Ovis aries: one gene and its partners. The protein of the gene in region 4 purifies or fractionates together with the protein of the main gene of each other region. This does not show direct contact. Links are inferred from orthologs where the notes say so. Each region holds a gene or a part of one and is shown on either strand. Other genes may lie near its edges.

Region 1 (4,110 bases), about 39 Mb from region 4:
GAAATGCTTATGTGCAAAGCCAAATTCAGAGATGCTAGTCAGGATAAAGGAAACTGGTCCTTTCCCAGGATTTCTTTTTCATCGCAGTTCCTCAGCCATAAGGAAGTTAAAGTTACTTTGTACCTCTCAGTTACTGATTTTTTTTTCCCCATATGGAAAAGCTGAGTATCAGTTAAGAGAGAACACATGATACTTAGTCAGCAGCAAACTAGAATTACTGCCCTGGCAGGCTTACCACTCAGAATTTAATGAGAAGAATTCATGCAGGCACCAGATAGAAAATGTTAACTAGCTGTCCTCAGCAGAAGCCTCTGTCCCAAACTAAAAGGAAAGAGAGGCTAAGTTTTTGATCAGTTACCATGAGTCTCAGGTACAAGAAGTTTATAAGCCAACTGGTATTTTAGGTAACATAAGCACCTCAAATTTTATTATATGAATATAGATCTCTATTAGGGATAAGATGTAGAGTCTGACTGAAGAGAGTTCTAGGTAAACAGTATCTAAATCATAGCTGAGACCAATAACAGCCTTTTGACCTCACTAGAAGGCAATGGCAACCCACTCCAGTACTCTTGCCTGGAAAATCCCATGGGTGGAGGAGCCTGATAGGCTGCAGTCCATGGGATCACTAAGAGTCGGACATGACTGAAGAGACATAGCAGCAACAGCAGCAATAAGTAATGGAGAAGGCAATGGCAACCAACTCCAGTGTTCTTGCCTGGAGAATCCCAGGGACGGGGGAGCCTGGTGGGCTCCCGTTTATGGGGTCGCACAGAGTCAGACACGACTGAAGCGACTTAGCAGCAGCAGCAATACATAAAAAGTCTTTTTATAAAGCTCTGCTGCGTATTTGTAGCATAGCAAAATATCATTGACTGAACTGAAATGAGCTGAAAGACCTTTCAACAGAGCGAGATTAGCCTCAGTTCAGTTGCTCAGTCATGTCCGACTCTTTGCGACCCCATGAATCGCAGCACGCCAGGCCTCCCTGTCCATCACCAACTCCCAGAGTTCACCCAAACTCATGTCCATCGAGTCAGTGATGCCATCCAGCCATCTCATCCTCTGTCGTCCCCTTCTCCTGCCCCCAATCCCTCCCAGCATCAGAGTCTTTTCCAATGAGTCAACTCTTCGCATGAGATGGCCAAAGTATTGGAGTTTCAGCTTTAGCATCAGTCCTTCCAAAGAACACCTAGGACTGGTCTCCTTTAGAATGGACTGGCTGGATCTCCTTGCAGTCCAAGGGACTCTCAAGAGTCTTCTCCAACACCACAGTTTATTTTAAAAAATGAGCTTTTGGGGTCAATCTATCAAACAGTGCTCCTCCTCTTCTGCTTCTTATGTAACTTGGCGAGGCATCCGCCTAATATTTCTAAGCTCAAAACATTCAAGACCCATCATCAAACTTCTCCCCGGAATATGGAGAGAATGCTGATTTTAAGCAAAAGCCCCCCACTTGATTAATTTAGGCAGCTCCAATTTCCCATAGATTAAGAGTGAGGCACAGTCATCAAAGGGATGGATGACATGACTCTAGGGATTCAAAGACAATGTCTGAAAAGGACATTCTTGTGGCACAATGAATTTTATTATTGAACTTTTATGGAAACACAGTTTCCTAGCATGAAAGATCAACTGTGTTTAACTTGGGGCAAGTGAGTCAGAATTTTGGAAGTTGGTGAAAATTTTTTCTCATGCTCTGTGCCAAGTGGTCAATTCTTATTGCCACCATTTTCTGCAGAACAAAATGAGCCTCTCTTCCATTCCTTTTCCAGAATCCTAGAAACAGACTGGGTCACTGAAGTCAAACCGTTCTCATTGTCCAGCAACCCAATTCCCAGGAGTCATTTTACAAATATTCCAGGTATCTGAAATCAGGATCGCTAAGGGCAGGGCATGAAGCTTAAGACACAACCTCAACCCCAGTGTCCCGGAGTTCCTACTCGTAAAAGCGCAGGCACATTAGTGCTTTGATTTGAGCAACTCACAATTTAGAATATGTCCTCAAACATGTTTTAGAAGCAACCCCTCCCCACCTCAACTAGGGCTCTGCACCCTCGGACGAACATTCAATTCTGCCACACCCCACACGTCCGCAGCACAGGTCTGAGATCGTTAATGCTCAAATCCGGACTGGGATGTGCAAAAACTGAGGGTGTGCGGTCTTTGCCAAGCCGGGCACATGCCCACTCAGCCTTGGGGCAGCACCATTTTCTGCGGGATCAGCATCCAGAGAGCGGCTGCAGCCCCGGACTCTGTTGGCCTGTAGCAGAACACATCCCCATCCCACAGCCAAGCTAAGAGTTGAGGAACCGCCCACAGAGTGCCGGGGCAGTCTCCACCGCCGACGGAGGCAGGGGCACCTGGTTCCTCCCGCCCAGCTGAAGCAGGCAGCTGGGAGGATGCGCGCGCGCCCACCACACACCACGGGCCAGCCGGGGCGCGGGGCGCGAAGCCGGGGCTGAGCCTCCCAGTCGCCGCAGAGGGTGACCCTCCCGTCCGCCGCGAGGAAATGCAGGTGAGTCTTTTAAGTCGTTGCTAACTTTCCTCGAGTCTCAGACTCCTCTCTTGAGGGCTCGAAGCCAAGGAACCTGGGCCCAGAAAGCGCGGTTCCCCGGGGAAGCCAAGCCCTCGTCTCCGGCTCCCGCCCAGCCCGGCAAAGGGGGCCGCGCACCGAGCTGCGCCCGGGCGCCCTGGCCTTGCAGCAGGCGCGTCTGCACCCCCGTCCCGGCGCCCCCGCCACTTACCCGACGCCTCTGCACTGGCTCGCGCGCCGCGGGGGAGGCTCGGGCAGGGGTGGTGTGGTCCTGCCCGGGCGGTGGCCGGCTCTGCGCCTCAAATACGCCCGGCCCGGCACGCCTCTCCCGGGGCGGGGCCGCCACCCCGGCCGCCCGCCCGGCCGCCCCCGGCCTCTCCGTGCGAACGAGGCTGGGCGAGTCCTGGCCCCGCTGGATCCAGGACGCAGAGGAGACGCCTGACTCAGGACAGCGGTGGGTGGGACCCGCGGCCTCCATCCCCTCAACGTCCGATCGGTCCCCTCCGCAGCCGCCAGAGGTTGGGTTCACCGCCCTCTCAATAGATTCACCTGCCAAGTCCTCAGGCCAAGATAGGGAGAGTCTGCGAAGGAAGCTTTTAGTGACAGGGAGGGTCCTGTCACGTTTTTTGAGATGCTGGGTGAGAAGCTCCATGTCTTGTTTTTATTCCCGTTCTGAACTGTGATGTGGGTACACACCTCTCAGACCAGGAGCCCTAGACTGTTTTGCTGTTTGCTTCCCACTGCCTCCTCAACATCTGCCTTGTGTTTGGTAGGTCCTCAGTAAACTGGTTAAATTTGTTTAGTAAATGAATGATTAAAATAGTGAATCACTTCCTAGGAAGTCTGTTTTCTCAAAGATTAGAAAGAGTCCTGATGGAGGGGAGAGTTAAATACAAATGTACCTTTGAGAAAAGTAGGAAAAAAATAAAGCTATGGCTCTCAGAAGGGCTTCGCTGGTAGCTCAGCTGGGAAAGAATCCACCTGCAATGCAGAAGGCCCCGGTTTGATTCCTGGCTGGGGAAGACTCGTGAAGAAGGGATAGGTTACCCACTCCAGTATTCTTGGGCTTCCCTGGTGGCTCAGAATAAAGTAAAAATAACATAAAGTAAAATAAAGAATCTGCCTGCAATGTGGGAGACCTAGGTTTGATCCCTGGGTTGGGAAGATCCTCTGAAGGAGGGCATGGCAACCCACTCCAGTATTCTTGCCTGGAGGATCTCCATGGACATAGGAGCCTGGGCTGCAGTCCATGTGATAACAAAGAGTCTGACCTGGCTCAGCAACTAAGCACAGTACAACATGTCTCTAAGAAAGATTGTTACAACAAGTAGTGGTGTTTCCAAGGGGAAGTGGTATTTGTCAGTAGCATTTCACTGGGTAACAGCTGAGTAAAATGACTAAGGATGTCTTAGATACATATGTTTTTTAATTCAAATTGCCACTCACAAAAGTTAACACACAGACATAGAAAACAAATTTATGGTTATCAGTGTGATAGTGAGGGGAAGGAACAAATTAGTAATTTGGGATTAACAGATACATACTCCTAGACAAATAAGATATAAATAATAGAC
Region 2 (4,094 bases), on a different chromosome or scaffold from region 4:
TGGAAATGGGTGTGTAATTCCCTACAACATTAAGCCCCTGGAAAACCCTACTGCAGCAATGTGACTTTTCAATCACACGGCCACCACACAGACAGCCTCTTTCAACTGGAAAAATATGAGATAATTTTAAATGTAGGAAAACCCTTCCTGCAGTGTGAATATACAAAAATCAGCATAGAAGTAATAAACAGGCATTTCTGCTGGCAAATTCCTCAGGTAAATTTTTTTTTTAATGAAACTGACCAACCATAATTAACAATGCTGCTACTGCAAGCAGAAAGAAGCCCTGAAATCAATCCCGTCTCTTTAATTAAACTAAGATTTTATTCATTTCAGTTCATAAAACTGGTCAACTCAAACACTGCTTTCAAAAGGCAAGCATATTGTCTTCCATATTGCAAACTTGCATACTGACCCTAATAATTGACAAAATAAGCATAGAAATTGATTGTAAGTAAATACTGGTCCTAGGGCCTATGGAAACATGTGGCAGGTTACCATCAATTAAGTTTTATGGACCATCCCTATGTATTGGAGTCAGAGGGATAAATAAGACCCTAAAGGAGTTCACAGCTGACAAGGAAAAGCAGCAATGGAAATAATCAAGCAACTTATAAACTTATTCAGACTTCAAAATTCAGTTCAGATGTCTTCTGCGGAATACTCTGCTTCCTCATTTCTCCAAGCAAGCAGTTAGTCCCTTCTTTATGCTCCACCAGTACTCACTCATGACATCCTATAGAATCAGTTACTTAAACTTGGGAAGCCCTGAGGGCAAGGACCATTTTATTCATTTCTAAATGCAAAAACCTAGCACAATGCTTGGGAAAGAGTAGGCCTTTAGATTCTGTTGCGCAAATAAAAACTATGGGATTACATGCTGTGAGCCATATAAAAAAAGGAACAGAAAAAGCCACCATACTTTGCCTTGGAAGAAGCAGAAGGCGACTTAAGAACATTCATCGCAAGCTGAGTGAGGTTAACTACAAAGATGGGCACTTAGAGAAGAGCCTGTGAAAGACAGCAAGGAATGGAAGGCCAGGACAGCTGACTATTCAGTGTGCAGTCAGTGCAACCAGAATACCAGTGGGGGCAAGTAGGTTGAGAGCAGACGGTAAAACTGGGAAGATGAAGGGGCTTAGCTAGCAGGTGAAAGGAGTTTTCACTGAACAGGCTTTAAAAAACCCCTTGAAGATACATAATTCATGCAGTGACAGGAAGACATATTAGGAGAGTCTTTGGCAAAAAGTTATAAAAGGCATGGGTTTTCGAAGAATTTTGCTTTCATATCCTAGGTTACTGTTCTGCCAGTCATTGGTCTATTTATTTCAATCTATGCTATGTTCCATTCCTACAGCAGCAGGCGATAAAGGGTAAACACCTAATGAAATTCTTATTACCGGTTTTAATTTTTTAAAGAAAGGGAGGGAGGGCCACATTCTTTATAATGAAAAGAAGGGGAAAAAGTTTAAAATAAATATCCTGAATTCCTTTCTCATCATGTACTTAAACATCAAGATATGAGAAGGCAGCATCCCATCCCACCGCCAATAATGAGGGCCCACTTTATCTGGAGGGTGCCCTAACTGGGTTTAACAAGACGAGATGATCCAACAACGGTCAACACAAATCTGGTCCTTCACGTGCTTGGCCCAGGGAAAAGTAACGGCGGCTTCCTGCCATTCGACTTGGCCAGGTTTTTTAAAATCTAAGATAAGGGGATATTGGTGAGCCAACTAGAAGGCACCAACAGGCAAGCAGCAGGTCATCGAGAGCCTCGGCTTTCACTCATGCAGTTCGGCCCTGGACCAGAGGGGAAGCATCGGCCCAGCACAGGGCAGGAGGCCAGGGCGCCTTCTTTCTCCGGGCGACCGGGCTGGGCAGCAGGAGGCGCGCCCGGGCACCGAGAGGCGGGTACCCGGGCGCGCCGGGCGGCGCGGAAAGCCAGGCTGCAAGGCGGGCGTGGAGCTGGGGCTGTCAGGAAGGGAGGCCAGCATCCTCCCTGGCCTCAGGAAAGAACCTGGGCCCCTGGAACTCCTACGTAGCCCGGTTACCCATGGCGAGAGGTTGCTGATGGGAAGCTGGGGTGCGGAGCTAGAGAGCAGAGGCGCGGCTGCGCCGGTTAAGTCCCCCAGGACGCGCGGCCCCCCGGCGCGGCGCGGGGGCGCTGGAAGACCAGGGCGGCGCCCCCGCAACCCCACCCCGACCGCGGCTGCCTGCTCGCGCGGCCACCGACCACAGGCTGCGGGCCCGGCACGCGGGAGGAGGGAGATGCGGCGGCGTTGCCGGGTCCCCAGTTCCGCCGCCCCAGCGATCGGGGAGATAAAAGTTTGCAGCATGCGGCTCGTCTGCAGTGCGAGTCACATCCGCCGCGCCACCTCCTGCAGCACCCGCGCTCACCGAAAGAATGAAAAAAAAAAAAAAAAAACTGTTGAAGCCGGTAGGCCCAGAAGCCGACCGCTCTGCCTCCAGGGCGTGCATGCAGACAAGCCCAGCATCCCGCGTCGCCTGCCGCACCTCCCGCCCGGCCTGGACCGGCCCCGCCGCGCCCGCCGCACTGACCGATAACCTCCTGCAGCTCGTACGCGTCCCTGCAGATGGGCCAGCCGATCGACTGCGCGGCCGGAGTCGTGGCCACGGGAGCCACCGGAGCCGGCGCTGCTGTCGCTGTCGCCGGGGCCGCCGCTGTCACCGGGGCCGCCTGCTGGGGCTGCTGGACGTGCACGGGCGAGCCGCTCGGCTCCGCCATGATGCTGCCGGAGGAGATCGGGAGGACGCGCCAGCCGGCGGACGACCTTCCACTTGAAACTTCCCTTCCTCGCCACCGACACCTCTCGGCCGGCGCACGCCCTCCGCGCCCGCCGCCGCCGCCGCCGCCGGAGCCAGCCACGAGGGGAGGGAGCGAGGGAGGCCGAGCCGGGCGGAGGGAGGAGGCAGCGCCGGCGGAGGCGGGGAGGGGAGGAGGCGGCCCGGTCGCCGCGCTCGCCGCGCGTCCCGAGCCTCGCGCGCGCAGTTCTCTGCCTCCGCGAGGGGAACCGCCGCCCCGCCGCCCCGCCGCCCCCTCCCGCCTCTCTCGCTGCCGGGAAGTTTCCACCCGAGGGGAGTGAGGCCGGGTTGGGCTGGCGTTCGGGACCCGCGTCCCTCGCCCCCTCACTCCCTGCTTTCCCTGAGCCTTCGCCCCAGACAATCGGGCTCTCCGGAAGATGTCCCTTGGGGACCCCGAGGGCGGGGTCGTTGAACCGCCGCCAGGTTCTCAGATTCAGAAAGTCTCCCCAAGTAAGAGAACCTGAAGTTCATTTACAAGTTAGCGAGTGAGCCACCTACACGCCGGCCGTTTGTAGGGCGCCGGTTAAAAAATAACCCGAGTTGTAACTTTCCGGCGCCCTACCTGCCGATAACCCTCTCCCCCACCTTGCCTAATCTAATCGCAGACCTTCTGGTTTTTTTCTTAGTGAAACGTGATGCCTTAGGTCTCTGGCTGTTCATAGACTTCATTAGTTCCAAGCCACTTGGATCCCAGGGAGGTGTTGTAAGGGCCTAAAAAGTTAGATTTTTCTAAGTGTAAGAGATTTGAACTCTAAATCTCAAATTTTAGACCCGTAATAACAAAGCCACCCTAACCCGATAGGTCAAGAGATAGCTGGCATTTCTTTTACAGAGCATAACTGGGTGTCAAAGAATGTACCGCACCACAAGCTGCGTTGAAAACTTAATTAATTGCTGCTTTCTCAACGCTCCTAAAATTACCTCATCCTTAAAACTGCTCTGGTATAACCATAGGTCTTCCTAATTATAGGTGTCATATTTAACACTGAGTGTTCTCTGTGTTTCCCCTGGTAGAGATGACCACGATTGCACCATCCTTTTCTTGAGCTGAAACTGTGCAGTGACCCAATGGTCATAATGATCATTGGGCCAAAATTATCGTGTGTAGTTGTCGTGATGAGGACTATTGGATAAGAAAAATGAGCTTTTTTTTTTTTTTTTTTAAAGAAAAAAGAGATCGTGATACTTTGTCTCCTCTGTTTACATATAAAAATCTCCTTAAAACTTTTTAAAATATAATTCAGATGAAACCCAGAAATTCATTTGGA
Region 3 (3,512 bases), on a different chromosome or scaffold from region 4:
AGAAGTTTTTATTAAACAGATTTTATTCAAGGCAAAAGACTCAATGAATTAGAATTTTTCTACTGAAGAGTATTAAGTAAAAGTGGAGGAGTACATTTAAATTTCAATATTTGAAAGCAATTTCTTCCATTAGACATTTTTGAAAATTAAATACAAGTACTCGTTATTTTACCACAACTCACTGGAAAAGACCCTGATGCTGGGAAAGATTGAGGGTGTGAGGAGAAGGGGATGACAGAGCATGAGATGGTTCGATGGCATCATCGACTCAATGGACATGAGTTTGAGTGAGCTCTGGGAGATCATGAAGGACAGGGAAGCCTGGCATGCTGCAGTCCATGGAGTCACCAAGAGTCGGACATGACTGAGCAACTGAACAACAACAATAAATATATCATCATATCTGAGGAAAGGGGCAGGTTTAAAGAATTTTAAAGCATTCAGTCTGTATGTGAAATGAAAATCAAAGAATATATGTGTGTATGTATATACATAAATATATATGTGTGCTTTGAGAGAGCATGGTTTTTAAGTCAACTGTTTCATCAACTATTAAGTTAAAAATAGTGCTCAAAATATAATGCAGGTTATAAAGGGCTCATTCTGGAGCCTGGCTTGGGACATCTGGCAAACATCAATAGTTTTATTGCTACTTAGATGTATATAAGGAAGTCTCACTGGAGAGGTACCAAAAAGCTGCAGCTGTCTTCAGTTCTAACATCTGGAGTTTAGCTGAGAGCAGGAGGGGACATATGATTCAGCAATCCTTTGAAGAGATTAAACTACTGGTTTGATATGATAAAACTATCTGATAAACAACAGCCCTTGGTGTGGATTTTGTTGCTGCAGACACCTGTCTTAAACCAACTACTCTTCCACAGAAGCTGTGATCTGTGCCTCCCATCTCATCCTTGGAGGCAAGAAAAACCCTTGCAAAAAGCTATGACCTATGGGATTGACAGCTGCTAGATTCTGAAGCAACTGAACAATTCTGACAACTCTTTCTTCCTAGAAGAGAGAGCTCATACACTGGATGTCTGCTCAGGTACAATCCAGGCAAGGATGGTACTCCTCTTCACCACAGTCACGCACTCCTGGGGATTCAGATGGTATAAATCTGACAACAGACAAGTGCAACAGCTAGTGGTTCCCACTTAATCTACTGTTCTTAATGAGCTCTGCCCAGGGTCCCCTTTATATATCGCCATCACTGTCCTACCTTTTTCAACAATTTCACCATCACTTTGCTTTTTTTCCTCTTCCAAGTCAACTGGCTTCTCCAGGGCTGCTTTCTCTTCCTTCACTTCCTGCTCCAGTGCTCCCTTTGTTTGTGGTTTACATATGTCCAGTTTTTTGAAAGCCACATCTTCATATTTTTTCTGTGGTAGTTTAACATAAGCTATTTTTACTAGAAGCAAAGCACTATTAAAAAAAACATTTTCTTTTTTTGCAATGACGGGTAACACACATGCGCTGAAGAACTGATGCTTTTGAACTGTCTTGTTGGAGAAGACTCTTGAGAGTCCCTTGGACTGCAAGGAGATCAAACCAATCCATCCTAAAGGAGATCAGTCCTGAATATCCATTGTAAGGACTGATGCTGAAGCTGAAATTCCAATACTTTGGTCACCTGATGCGAAGAACTGACTCATTTGAAAAGACCCTGATGCTGGGAAGGACTGAAGGCAGAAGGAGAAGGGGACAACAGAGGATGAGATGGTTGGATGGCATCACCGACTTGATGGACATGAGTTTGAGCAAGCTCCGGGAGATGGTGATGGACAGGGAAACCTGACATGCTGCAGTCCATGGGTTTGGAAAGAGTCAGACGTGACTGAGCAACTGAACCGAACTGAACTGATATCATACACGGTGAACTAACAGTAAAAACTTATATAAGAAATTTAGTTTATTACTTTTAAGAACCACTGACTCCATTTATTGAACTCCTAAACACTAAGAGATTTTTTTTTTATGTTGAAGAAAATTCATTTTCTTTACCTTTACTTTTCTTGGCCAACAAAATGAACTAATCAATGCTATTGGAAGCGCTGCTGTCAAGAGGTAAATGAACCAAAGCCATGGGCGCTGTTCAGTAGCTGACATCAATTGTTTGAATATACCAGGCTGAAAAAGAAATAAGCATAAAAAGGCTATTCAGATTTTATAAACCTTCATTCATAAATACAGCCTATGAAAACAAAAAAAGTTATTTCACCTAGGTAGTTTTCTACTAAGGAGTCAAATTTATAAGGCAAAAAATATTTTTCATTTTATACTTTGTAAAGTTTAAACAATCTTTAAAAAAAAAAAAAGTTTATCTGGCATGCCAGTTCTTAGTTGTGACCTGTGGGAACTACTTCCCCAACCAGAGATCAAACCCAGGCCCCCTGCACTGAGAGCGCTGAGTCCTAGCCACAGGCCACCAGGGAAGTCCCTTAAACAATCTTTAATTATTCACATGCATTGCAGTTTAACACTTGGTAGAAGATACATTATATTATACAAGTGAATATTGCTAATTCTCCAGCAAGAATTAAGACAGCTTCCTTTTCTGGTAAGTTTCAAGATAGTACTATGCTTCATGGATGTATTATTTGGTTCATTTAGAAGTAAACTCTCTAACTCATTCTGTACTTTTAAAGAACTTACTAAAAAAAAAAAAGTCAACCTAAGGATAGCTATGTTTTTTCTTATTTCTTAACAAATTTCACACACAACTTTCAGAAAGGAAACTGTTTTCCTTATTAAAATGTTTTAGTTAAAAGAGTTTCAAAATGAGAATCCTTTTACCTTTATTTACTCTTTTGAGGTTTTTGCTAATATTCAAAGAAACCTAATATAAGGTACATTTTTCTTTATGGTAATTGGTTTTAAAGACAGATAGATTCTCCAAGATGTACTGTGTTGAAATATTTAGCTTAAGCTTTCCTAAGCAGTGTTAAGATTTGGGAAAAATAACTAGAACATAATAATTAAATTTTAAAAATTTCTATACTCCTCTAAGTGAAAAGTAGTTAAAATGAATAAAGATTTAGATTTCTGTTCCCACTTAGGCCTTAAACTGATAAGGTGACAAGATATTAAGTCTCATTTCTAACAGTAGTAATAACCGTCTCATTTCTATAAACATCAAAAGGCATTCAATCCATTTATGTTATCATAATCTAACAAATGAAAAGAAGACATATATAATTCACTATATAGTTTATAATGAAGTTATAATTTGGTGAAGCTCATATTCTGTCTACATAGATTTAAATATGTTTCTTCATCATTTAGTAATTATTGTATCTATTGACTCATCAAAAGGCCATCTGTATAACCTATAACCAGGACGATACCCTATTATTATCATATGCTAAATACTGTGTACCTCATTAGCATTTTCTATCAGTATCTTCACTCCCCAACCATCTGCAGCCCAGCGGTCTGCTACTTCCTTTTCTGAACAGATAATAAAATTATCAAAGTAGATATCAGAGGTCATGGACCAAAGCTCTAAACCAAGA
Region 4 (3,963 bases):
GAATCAAGCTTTGAGGAGATTTACATTTTAAATAGGAATCTACTTTACATTTTGTTACCTGTAGCTTTTAAACCAGACTGTGGACTTTGTGTCATGTAATAAAAGATTTCCTGGCTCAGGTCTTCAATACTGTTCTCATCTGTTATTAAGGATGATGTTAAACATTTCTACTTGTGCTGAGCAAGGACCAGGCAAAGTCAGGCCCCAGGTTGTTGACTTTAAATGACTTTTGATAAACAAGGCCCTACATATAGTACAGGGAACTATATTCAGTATCCTGTGATAAACCATAATGGAAAAAAATATTTTTTAAAATATGTGTATGACTGAGTCACTTTGCTGTACGGCAAAGATTGCACATTATAAATGAACTATATGTCAATAAATAAAGTTAGGAAAAATTAAAATTAAGAAAAAGTCTTGATCACAGCTCTAGGAAATAACTTGCAAACAAAACATTGATAAGTCAAATTTATTGAACACCTATTCACGCATTAAATAAACATGCTAGGGAAAATATGGTGGCAGTAGCAGAGAAAACACTGGCGTCAAGAGACAATATCTCAATGTCATCTTCATGTCTAAAAGATGGCTTTTTTAACGGAGCTTTCAGTCTGAGGTAAAACACAAAATTGTATATATGTAACGTGTACAATATGAATATTTGATAGGTGTATACCTGTAGAAACCAGCATTTTTTCCGAAAGACTGCAAATAGAAAATGTAGCACACATTATGTATAAATTTGAGCATACAATTCTTTGGGATATACCACTACATAAAAACTCCAATGAGGGTCATATCCAATATATAGCATATATTTTGGAGGTATATGATGGTGTGAGATTTGTGATTTTTAAAGAAATTATGAATGGTTTTTTGAGGATGTTCTTATTCAGTAGAGATGGTTTTTGCGGTTCTGAGAGTATGGCGTACCCACTGCTCCCTGAAGTCCTTCCACTTCTAGAGTTAGTGCAAGACAGCAGGACCTAGAAGGAAAAGCATTTGTTTTTCCAAATACACGCAGCTGAGGCCCCCACACACCCAACTACAATTCCCGTCGTGCTCCGGGCCTCCCACACTGGGGCCCAACCCGTGCCGCAACCTGAGCGAGCGCATGCGCGCAGCCCTCTCGGCCACCTCGCGGGCTGCAGAGACTGGGCGGGGCTTTCAGACGCTCGTGGGGACGGTGCCGCCCTCCGACCGCTCCCCTAGGCTTCTCTTCGGACCGTTAACCTCGAATGAGGAACGAGCGGGGAGGAAAGGGCGGGGCTGCGGCGGCGCGGGCCCAGCCCGCCGGGCCCGGGGCCGGGGGCGGCGAGGTCACGTAACTGCATCTCTGGCGTCTGGCCAAGGAGGGGGCGCCCTCCCTGGCAGCTCCAGCCGTCCTGCGCGCGCCGTGGCTCGGAAACAGTTACCGGCTCATAAACAACAGCTGCGCGCGCACCCGCATCAGCTGGCGCCGAGATCCCGCACCTGCGACCTCCTCCTACTCACATCCTCGCTGCTCTCTCCGGCTCAGCCAGGGCCAGCCTGAGGCCGCCTCCTCTTCAGTTAGAACCCGAAGGAAGAACAGCGAGGGCTGACCTTGCGCCGGGGCTCTGGTAGGGGAGAGAGCTGCTTCGGCAAAGGGGTGGCTCGTCCTGTCACGCGCAAGAGAAACCGAGTGAGCCAGTCGGAGGCTCGATGGACTGACTAGCAGCGACCTGCCTCGACCCTGAGCTGCAGTCCGCGGAGTCTCGATCAGCTAGCCGCCTCCTCCCAGATCCTAGGGACCTTTCTGCCAGAAGAGCGGGCGGGCCAGCCCCGCAGGCCTCTTGAAGGCAGAAATCCGCTCTGCCCCTGCAGCCTCCTCTGCTCACCCTTCTCTCATTCTCCTCCAGCCGGAGTGTGCGATTATTTTTCCCGTTATGCGTGCGCACCTCTCCCACCAGACCCAAGTGGATTATCGGCCTCAGAAACATCGGGTGGCTGTACACACACCTCCTCCCAGCCAGACCTGTGGGGTATTCACCTGATACACAACAGGTGGCCGGGTATACACCGTTTCTCAAGCTGATCTATGCTGTATTCGTCTGATAAGGGTGGGCTTGTGCTCACTTTGCTCAACTAACCGTGGGACATTTACAGATAAAAAAAGGACTAACTACCTCGGCCTAAACCTTAGGGTCGAGGCAAGAAAGGCTTCGTCACCTGCTTTTCTGACAATGGCCCTGAGCCCACATCCCTGGACCAGAGGAGATAACTAGGTATCTCTTCATTCTGAAGAAACGAAGTTACACGAGATTGGCATCGTTGTCTTTTTTTGTTTTTTTTTTGAATATTTTTCAACTGTTGGTAGTGCACTTTTTAGGACAGCTTGAATTCTTGAATAGGAGGATTCTTATATGTAGTGGCTTTTCGTGTGGTGTAAATCAAGGTAACTGAAGGTTGTTTTTCGTGTTTTTAGTTATCTTTTCTGTTTTTGCAATCAGAAATAGCTTGCAAAGGAGGAAGGGTTTTGCAGGGTTTTTCTTTTTTCCTTGTCTTTATAAAGGAAGAGAAAAATAAAAATGCATCCTCCAGAAACCACCACCAAGATGGCTTCAGTTCGGTTCATGGTGACACCAACAAAGATCGATGACATTCCAGGTTTATCAGACACCAGTCCGGACCTCAGCTCTCGATCCAGTTCCCGAGTAAGATTTAGCTCCCGCGAAAGTGTGCCCGAAACCAGCCGTAGTGAGCCTATGAGTGAGATGTCTGGAGCCACCACTTCCTTGGCAACGGTTGCACTGGATCCAGCCAGTGACCGGACATCTAACCCCCAGGATGTTACTGAGGGTGAGTAGAAACATAGATAACAAAATATTTCCGTTACTGACCTGTTTGTCCAGGATGAAAATATACTGAGAGATCACGTTTCCATTATAGAATAATCATTAGGAACCAAGGAACCTCTGTTTGAGATGTTTAGGAACCCTTTGGGATAATGGTTTGCATAGCCAATCTCTGCAGTAGTAACTTGGTGTGTTTGGAGGTATATGGCAAGAAGGAAAGTGGTTGTGTTTTGACTTCCTCGTTTTCTGTCTCAAACTTGAACTGTATCTTTTGGTTAAGGATGAGTATCAAAGAATTTAATCATTTTCAGGAAGGAGAATCCTAAATGGTAAAATTTAGTGGAGAGTTGGCTTTGGGGGTCTAACTATGACAGTTTGCTTTTAAGGTCACTTATGTGGAGTAGTTATTGATCATATCTTAGTTATTGGCTTTCCTAAAGAGACTTCAGATATTGTATCACAAAATTCTTTTTAAAAATTTATGTTTTTACAGAAGCAGTTGTTCCAGTAGCTAAGCTCAGTCAGGGTGAGGGTGGGTAGATCTGAGTGGGCTGCCTTGTCCAGTGGAGAATTCTAAAGAGGCTTTTAGGGCCTGATTCCACATAAATTTTTTTTGTTTCATTTTGAACTTTAGATGGCATGTACTGAGTATTAAGCCTTTGTAGTCAGGAACAGCACATGAGCCACTTTTGACTTGTATTGACCACTGCAGACCTTTAGCTTCCTAAAGCAATTTGTGTCAACAGGCTTGGAGGTTTCCATTGCGTTTAGTGAGAAAGAGATGATGAAATAAAACAGGTCATAACATTTTTTGGACTAAAGTAGAAAAATTTGAGAAATACCGTACTGCTTTATATATTTAGTTTTATGCTGTGTTCTAACATAGATCTCTCTGGTAATGAAAATTCTCTTAAGAATTTTAAAAGCCCTTAAAATGATATTCTACCCACATTTGAAAACCATCTTCAGCCACTGACTTGCTATTTTCCGGTGTCAGGAAATATTGTTCCTTCTAATCTACAGAGCGCAGGAAACCAAAATGCTTTTAGTTCCTTATTTCTGTTTAGTGTGTTTTAATGTAAGGAGACAAGGTAGATTTGCTAGTTTATAGTCCTTGACTAATTTTTTTTTTTTTTTATGAAGA
Region 5 (4,151 bases), on a different chromosome or scaffold from region 4:
AAAGTGGGAGGAGTCTTCAGGGCCTTAGAGCTCCCTGCCAGAAAGAATCAATGTGGCTAATGGCAGTGCCTTTTCTCCTAATGACCATGTTCAAAGGGCTCAGAAACCATGATCCCAAACGACTAGCCTGGCATTCCCACCAGGTCACCCAACCCAGCCATAATCCTGGCCAGAGTTTGGTAACCACCACCTCCTAGATTAAAGATTCCCAATTCTTGGCTTTCCCAATTCAAGGTCACCTCATTTCCCAATGGCATGTTAGTGACCGGGAACAGGAGACACGAGTTTCAGTCCCAGAAGTGTTAGCAACTCACAATAGACCTCTGGGTCCACACCCTATCCTTATAAACATGCTGGGCTTCCCTTATAAACATGGGGGCTCACGCTCTGAGGGCTTCAGCTCTTGTTTCTGTGATTTTAGGTGCAAAGGTGGTTTGCAGAGCTCATCAGGGGCCTCAGCCCATCAGAGGTTCTGAGGGAGCCCAGAGTTTTCACTCAAATACACCAGATGCATTCTCCTCACCAAACCTCCTTCACTGAAGCATATTCAGACTTGGAATAAAACTGTGTTTACTGACAACCTCTCAGGGTCCAGCCCTTTGAGAGACACTGAGGAAACATGAAGGGGTAAGAAAACGACCCTCAGGCAACCATCTTACAGAGACAGAAACTAAGGCTCAGAAAGGCTTCGAAATCTCCTCAAGGGAACACAGCTAAGAATTCAACTCCCAGGGCTCTAGCACCGGTTGGATTAGCCCTGTAATGTGAAGACCAATCCCTCTACTCCCAAATCCCTTTAGGCACAAGAAAAAGTTAGTTTTGTGAAACTGGAATCTACTAAGATCAGAAACTCAAAAGTCCAGGACACAGGGCTGGCTGGCTGAGTTCATCTTGCTCAGAAATGCCCAGCTTGGCCCTAAAACCCATGTCAGAGCTTGGCCACCTTCTGACACCCTTCTCGGAGCCATCCCTGCATCCCAGCTAATGAGCAGCGGCAGGCAGGCGACTGTCATGTGACCTCCACAAGCAATATGTACACACATATCACAGCAGCACCTGGAGCTCACCAGGTCCTCCCAAGATTGTGTGTGTTGCGGCCCCTTGTACAGACAGGCACTAGACCAGGTGAACCGGACTGGTTTGTAGAGCTACAGCTGGTGGTCCTGCCTCCAGAGACAGCCTTCTCCCAGAGCAGGTCAGGGCCCAGCCTGTCTCCCCGCAGCCTCAGGTGAGAGGCCTCTGCAGGGATGCTCTGAGAACCACTCCTTCCTACAAGTGTCAGAGGCTCCATGCTCTTCAGGCTGGTCTTCCCTCCTCAGGACTAACCTGGCTTTCAGAGACGCTTTCCCCGGGGGAGCTACCAGACAGCAGGAAAGCCGTTTGTCTCCTCGTCTCCCTGGCCCCTGGCCCGCTGCCACGGTGGCCTCCCCTCCCCCAAGAAGGGCGGTGAGCTGGGAGGTGGGGGTTGGAAGAATCCGCCGAGAACGCTCTTGGGAGGGGTGCTGGGAAGCCAGGCAGGGCGTGTCGCCTGGTCCTTTCTCTGCCCAGCGCCGGGCTTCGCGGCTCTCGGTGCAAGGCGCCCCGGTTCCATCCCCCAAATCTGCCCTGCACTGGGGACCCCCTGCTGTCATCGCTCAGACCCCTGAGCCCGAAAGCGGCTAATACACAGCAGCGAAGGGCGACGGGTCTAGAACATTCGGTGCCCAGTCGGACGTAAGTCAGGGGAGGTGGGCGCCCTGTTCCCCGACGATCTGCACCTGCTCTTTTCAGAAGAGACAGATGTCGGTCTTCTCGCCGCGGCCGTCTGCCCCAGGGCCTGGACGTGTCTGCAATTACGGTTCCCGTCAGGGGCCCCAGGGAGCCCCTCCGGTGCCGCGGTTTGGGGAGCGGCCAGACGCCAGTGCCGTCTCGTTCTCTAAAGAGGTGCAATCGCCCTCCCTGCGACCCTCATCGGCGCCCCGCCACCTGCGCGGTCGCCCGCAGCCGGTGCCGCAGTGCGAGCGAGCCAGCGAGCCCGGAGCCTTCACGCCCGCGGCCGGCGCCGCCGAGCGAGCCGCCGCCCTCCGGTGTCCCCGGCGCGCCGCACCCCGAGCCCCCACCCCAGATCCCACCCTCGCCCCCACCTCTGGCCCCAGCGCCTCGTCGTCCCTTACGCCTGGAGCCTCCCCTGCCGGCCCCTCCGAGCCGGCCACGACCTCCCCATCCCCAAACCTCTTCTCTACCCGGGCACCGAGGGGCCTTTTCGAGCCGAGGTCGGGGTCCCAGTGGGGTGGATGATTTGGCGGCGGGGGTGGGCTCGACTCCAAACCCGGGGAATAAGCGGGGTACTTACCGCTCTGCTCCCCCAGGAAGACCAACTTGAATTTTCTCAGTGGGTTTCCAAAATCTCCCCCTGCGGACATGGTGCTGGCAGCTGGGGCTGGGAGAGGAGGAGGAGGAGAAGCGAAGGAGCAGGGAGGGGAGAGGAGGAGGGCGAGGGGAGGCGGCCGGCGGTGCGGGAGCCGGAGGGGGAAGGGCTGGCTGCGCGCGTCCCTGGCTCCCCAGCTGCGTCCCGGCCCCGGCCTGCGGCTGCGTGTCCGGTGGCGGAGGAGGAGGAGAAAGATAAGGAGGAGGAGGAGGAAGGATGGGGCTGGGCGGCCGCAGGCGGCGCTTGATGCGGCGCGCTCTGGACGCCCGAGGCGCGGCGCAGACTGCGAGGATCGGGCGGAGCGGGGCTCAGGCGCGCGGGGCGGAGGAGCGCTCTCCCGAGCCGCACCAGTCGGCCCCCCTCCCGCCTTGCTTCTCCGCCCGCGCCTGCGCTCTGCGCGCTCCCTAGCCTCTGATGTCATGCGGGGCCCGTGGCGCTGCGGGGCTGAGGGGCGTCAGTCCACCCACCCGGAGCCCGCACTCGGGCGAGAGAGGGTCGCTCAGCCGTTCCTTGAAGAGGCTACCGAATCGGACCCTCTCTCATTGCCCCACTGCGTCTGTCTTCCCCACTCCATCTCCCTTTTGAATGCAGAAAATGACGTGAAATTGTCAAGGGATATTTGTTAATTAAACCTAGATGTTACCCCTTCTTTCTACCCCTGCGACACTGATACACACAGCCCAGCCATCCGAGAGGGTGAAAATGAAAGAAGTCAGGGCGGGGGGCGGGGGGCGGGGAGCGGGGGGGAGGGTCGGTGAGCCAGGGTGTGGTGGACCGTGTGGGCGCAGACCGGCTCTACTGGCATCTTGTACGTGTGTCTGGCCCTCCCTCCTCTCTTCTCTCCAGATCCCTCCTCTTGGGCCCCTCTGTAGAGTCATAGGTGTCCCCCCCACCCACCCACAGACATGCCCAACTGGAGAGGAGCTCCGATAAAAGGAGCACCCTGCTTCAACCGCTCCTAAGCACCACTTTATCCTAAACCTAATGACCCGTGGGAGAGAAGAGGAACGAGGCCCCGAATGTCAGCTCCTCCATCTCCAGGATGGATCCCTGGATCCCTGGACCTTGGGATCTCTGGGCTGACACCACCACTCCTTGCCCTGGCAATTAGACGTATCTGGACAATGAGCTCCCAGAGGACAGGAGGGAGACCTCCCATTTGCCTTTACATTCACCTGACCTGTTAAGGCACACAGATAATTTGTGAGTGGGTGAGAACAAGGAGCAGGTGCCAGGCATTAGATGCTCTCCCAACCGGGTCCTAGCATTCTGGGTAACTGAGGTTTCACCAAGCTGCTTCTGCTGTGCTGCAGGCAGGTGGTCTGTTCTTTTAGGGCCGTTCAATGAATGTTCATTTGGGATTATACCCTAGATGTTAGGGAACAAGTTTGTGTGTGTGTGTGTGTGTGTGTTTCATTCAGAGAGAAAGGTGAGAAGCAACCTTCATCTCTGGAGTTTTCTAGGGGGCATTTGTTGCTCTTTTTGACTTACATAGCTGGCTTGGAATGTCTTCCTGTCTGACTCCCTGGTTTATTACTTAGAATCTTTCTCTCATTGCTTATTAAAAACTATAGGATGAGTTCCAGATCAGCAGTTGAGTCTCCACTGCTGAATCCCAAAGACTTAACTTTGAGCTTAGGAAATAATTGTTGAATGTTTGGGTGAATATCTAGAACCCAAGTCAGTACAACTGTTCCACTTATTGAAGAGACTGTGTTTTCTCCATTGTATATTTCCATACATA

Evidence for each region.
Region 1: the proteins of SLC12A6 (region 4) and LGALS3 purify together in Homo sapiens (affinity purification with mass spectrometry; 3 studies listed by BioGRID and IntAct, counting the BioPlex papers as one, with this or other methods). This does not show direct contact. The link is inferred for Ovis aries from reciprocal best matches to the Homo sapiens genes SLC12A6 and LGALS3.
Region 2: the proteins of SLC12A6 (region 4) and STK39 purify together in Homo sapiens (affinity purification with mass spectrometry; 3 studies listed by BioGRID and IntAct, with this or other methods). This does not show direct contact. The link is inferred for Ovis aries from reciprocal best matches to the Homo sapiens genes SLC12A6 and STK39.
Region 3: the proteins of SLC12A6 (region 4) and CLGN purify together in Homo sapiens (affinity purification with mass spectrometry; 3 studies listed by BioGRID and IntAct, with this or other methods). This does not show direct contact. The link is inferred for Ovis aries from reciprocal best matches to the Homo sapiens genes SLC12A6 and CLGN.
Region 5: the proteins of SLC12A6 (region 4) and RAB6B purify together in Homo sapiens (affinity purification with mass spectrometry; 4 studies listed by BioGRID and IntAct, with this or other methods). This does not show direct contact. The link is inferred for Ovis aries from reciprocal best matches to the Homo sapiens genes SLC12A6 and RAB6B.

The regions. Positions count from the first base shown.
Region 1 is NC_056060.1:65,677,866-65,681,975, reverse strand, and holds the start of LGALS3 (galectin-3), read right to left. Parts: upstream 2,810-4,110; 5' UTR 2,748-2,809; intron 2,519-2,747; exon of another isoform or gene 2,366-2,518; intron 1-2,365. UniProt on the Homo sapiens protein: Galactose-specific lectin which binds IgE. May mediate with the alpha-3, beta-1 integrin the stimulation by CSPG4 of endothelial cells migration.
Region 2 is NC_056055.1:141,119,018-141,123,111, reverse strand, and holds the start of STK39 (STE20/SPS1-related proline-alanine-rich protein kinase), read right to left. Parts: upstream 2,805-4,094; 5' UTR 2,750-2,804; coding exon 2,563-2,749; intron 1-2,562. UniProt on the Homo sapiens protein: Effector serine/threonine-protein kinase component of the WNK-SPAK/OSR1 kinase cascade, which is involved in various processes, such as ion transport, response to hypertonic stress and blood pressure.
Region 3 is NC_056070.1:17,392,015-17,395,526, reverse strand, and holds part of CLGN (calmegin), read right to left. Parts: coding exon 3,377-3,512; intron 2,128-3,376; coding exon 2,002-2,127; intron 1,380-2,001; coding exon 1,220-1,379; intron 1-1,219. UniProt on the Homo sapiens protein: Functions during spermatogenesis as a chaperone for a range of client proteins that are important for sperm adhesion onto the egg zona pellucida and for subsequent penetration of the zona pellucida.
Region 4 is NC_056060.1:26,490,571-26,494,533, forward strand, and holds the start of SLC12A6 (solute carrier family 12 member 6), read left to right. Parts: upstream 1-1,159; 5' UTR 1,160-2,419; exon of another isoform or gene 2,420-2,536; 5' UTR 2,537-2,552; coding exon 2,553-2,823; exon of another isoform or gene 2,824-3,963.
Region 5 is NC_056054.1:256,108,085-256,112,235, reverse strand, and holds the start of RAB6B (ras-related protein Rab-6B), read right to left. Parts: upstream 2,803-4,151; 5' UTR 2,403-2,802; coding exon 2,333-2,402; intron 1-2,332. UniProt on the Homo sapiens protein: The small GTPases Rab are key regulators of intracellular membrane trafficking, from the formation of transport vesicles to their fusion with membranes. Rabs cycle between active GTP-bound and inactive GDP-bound states.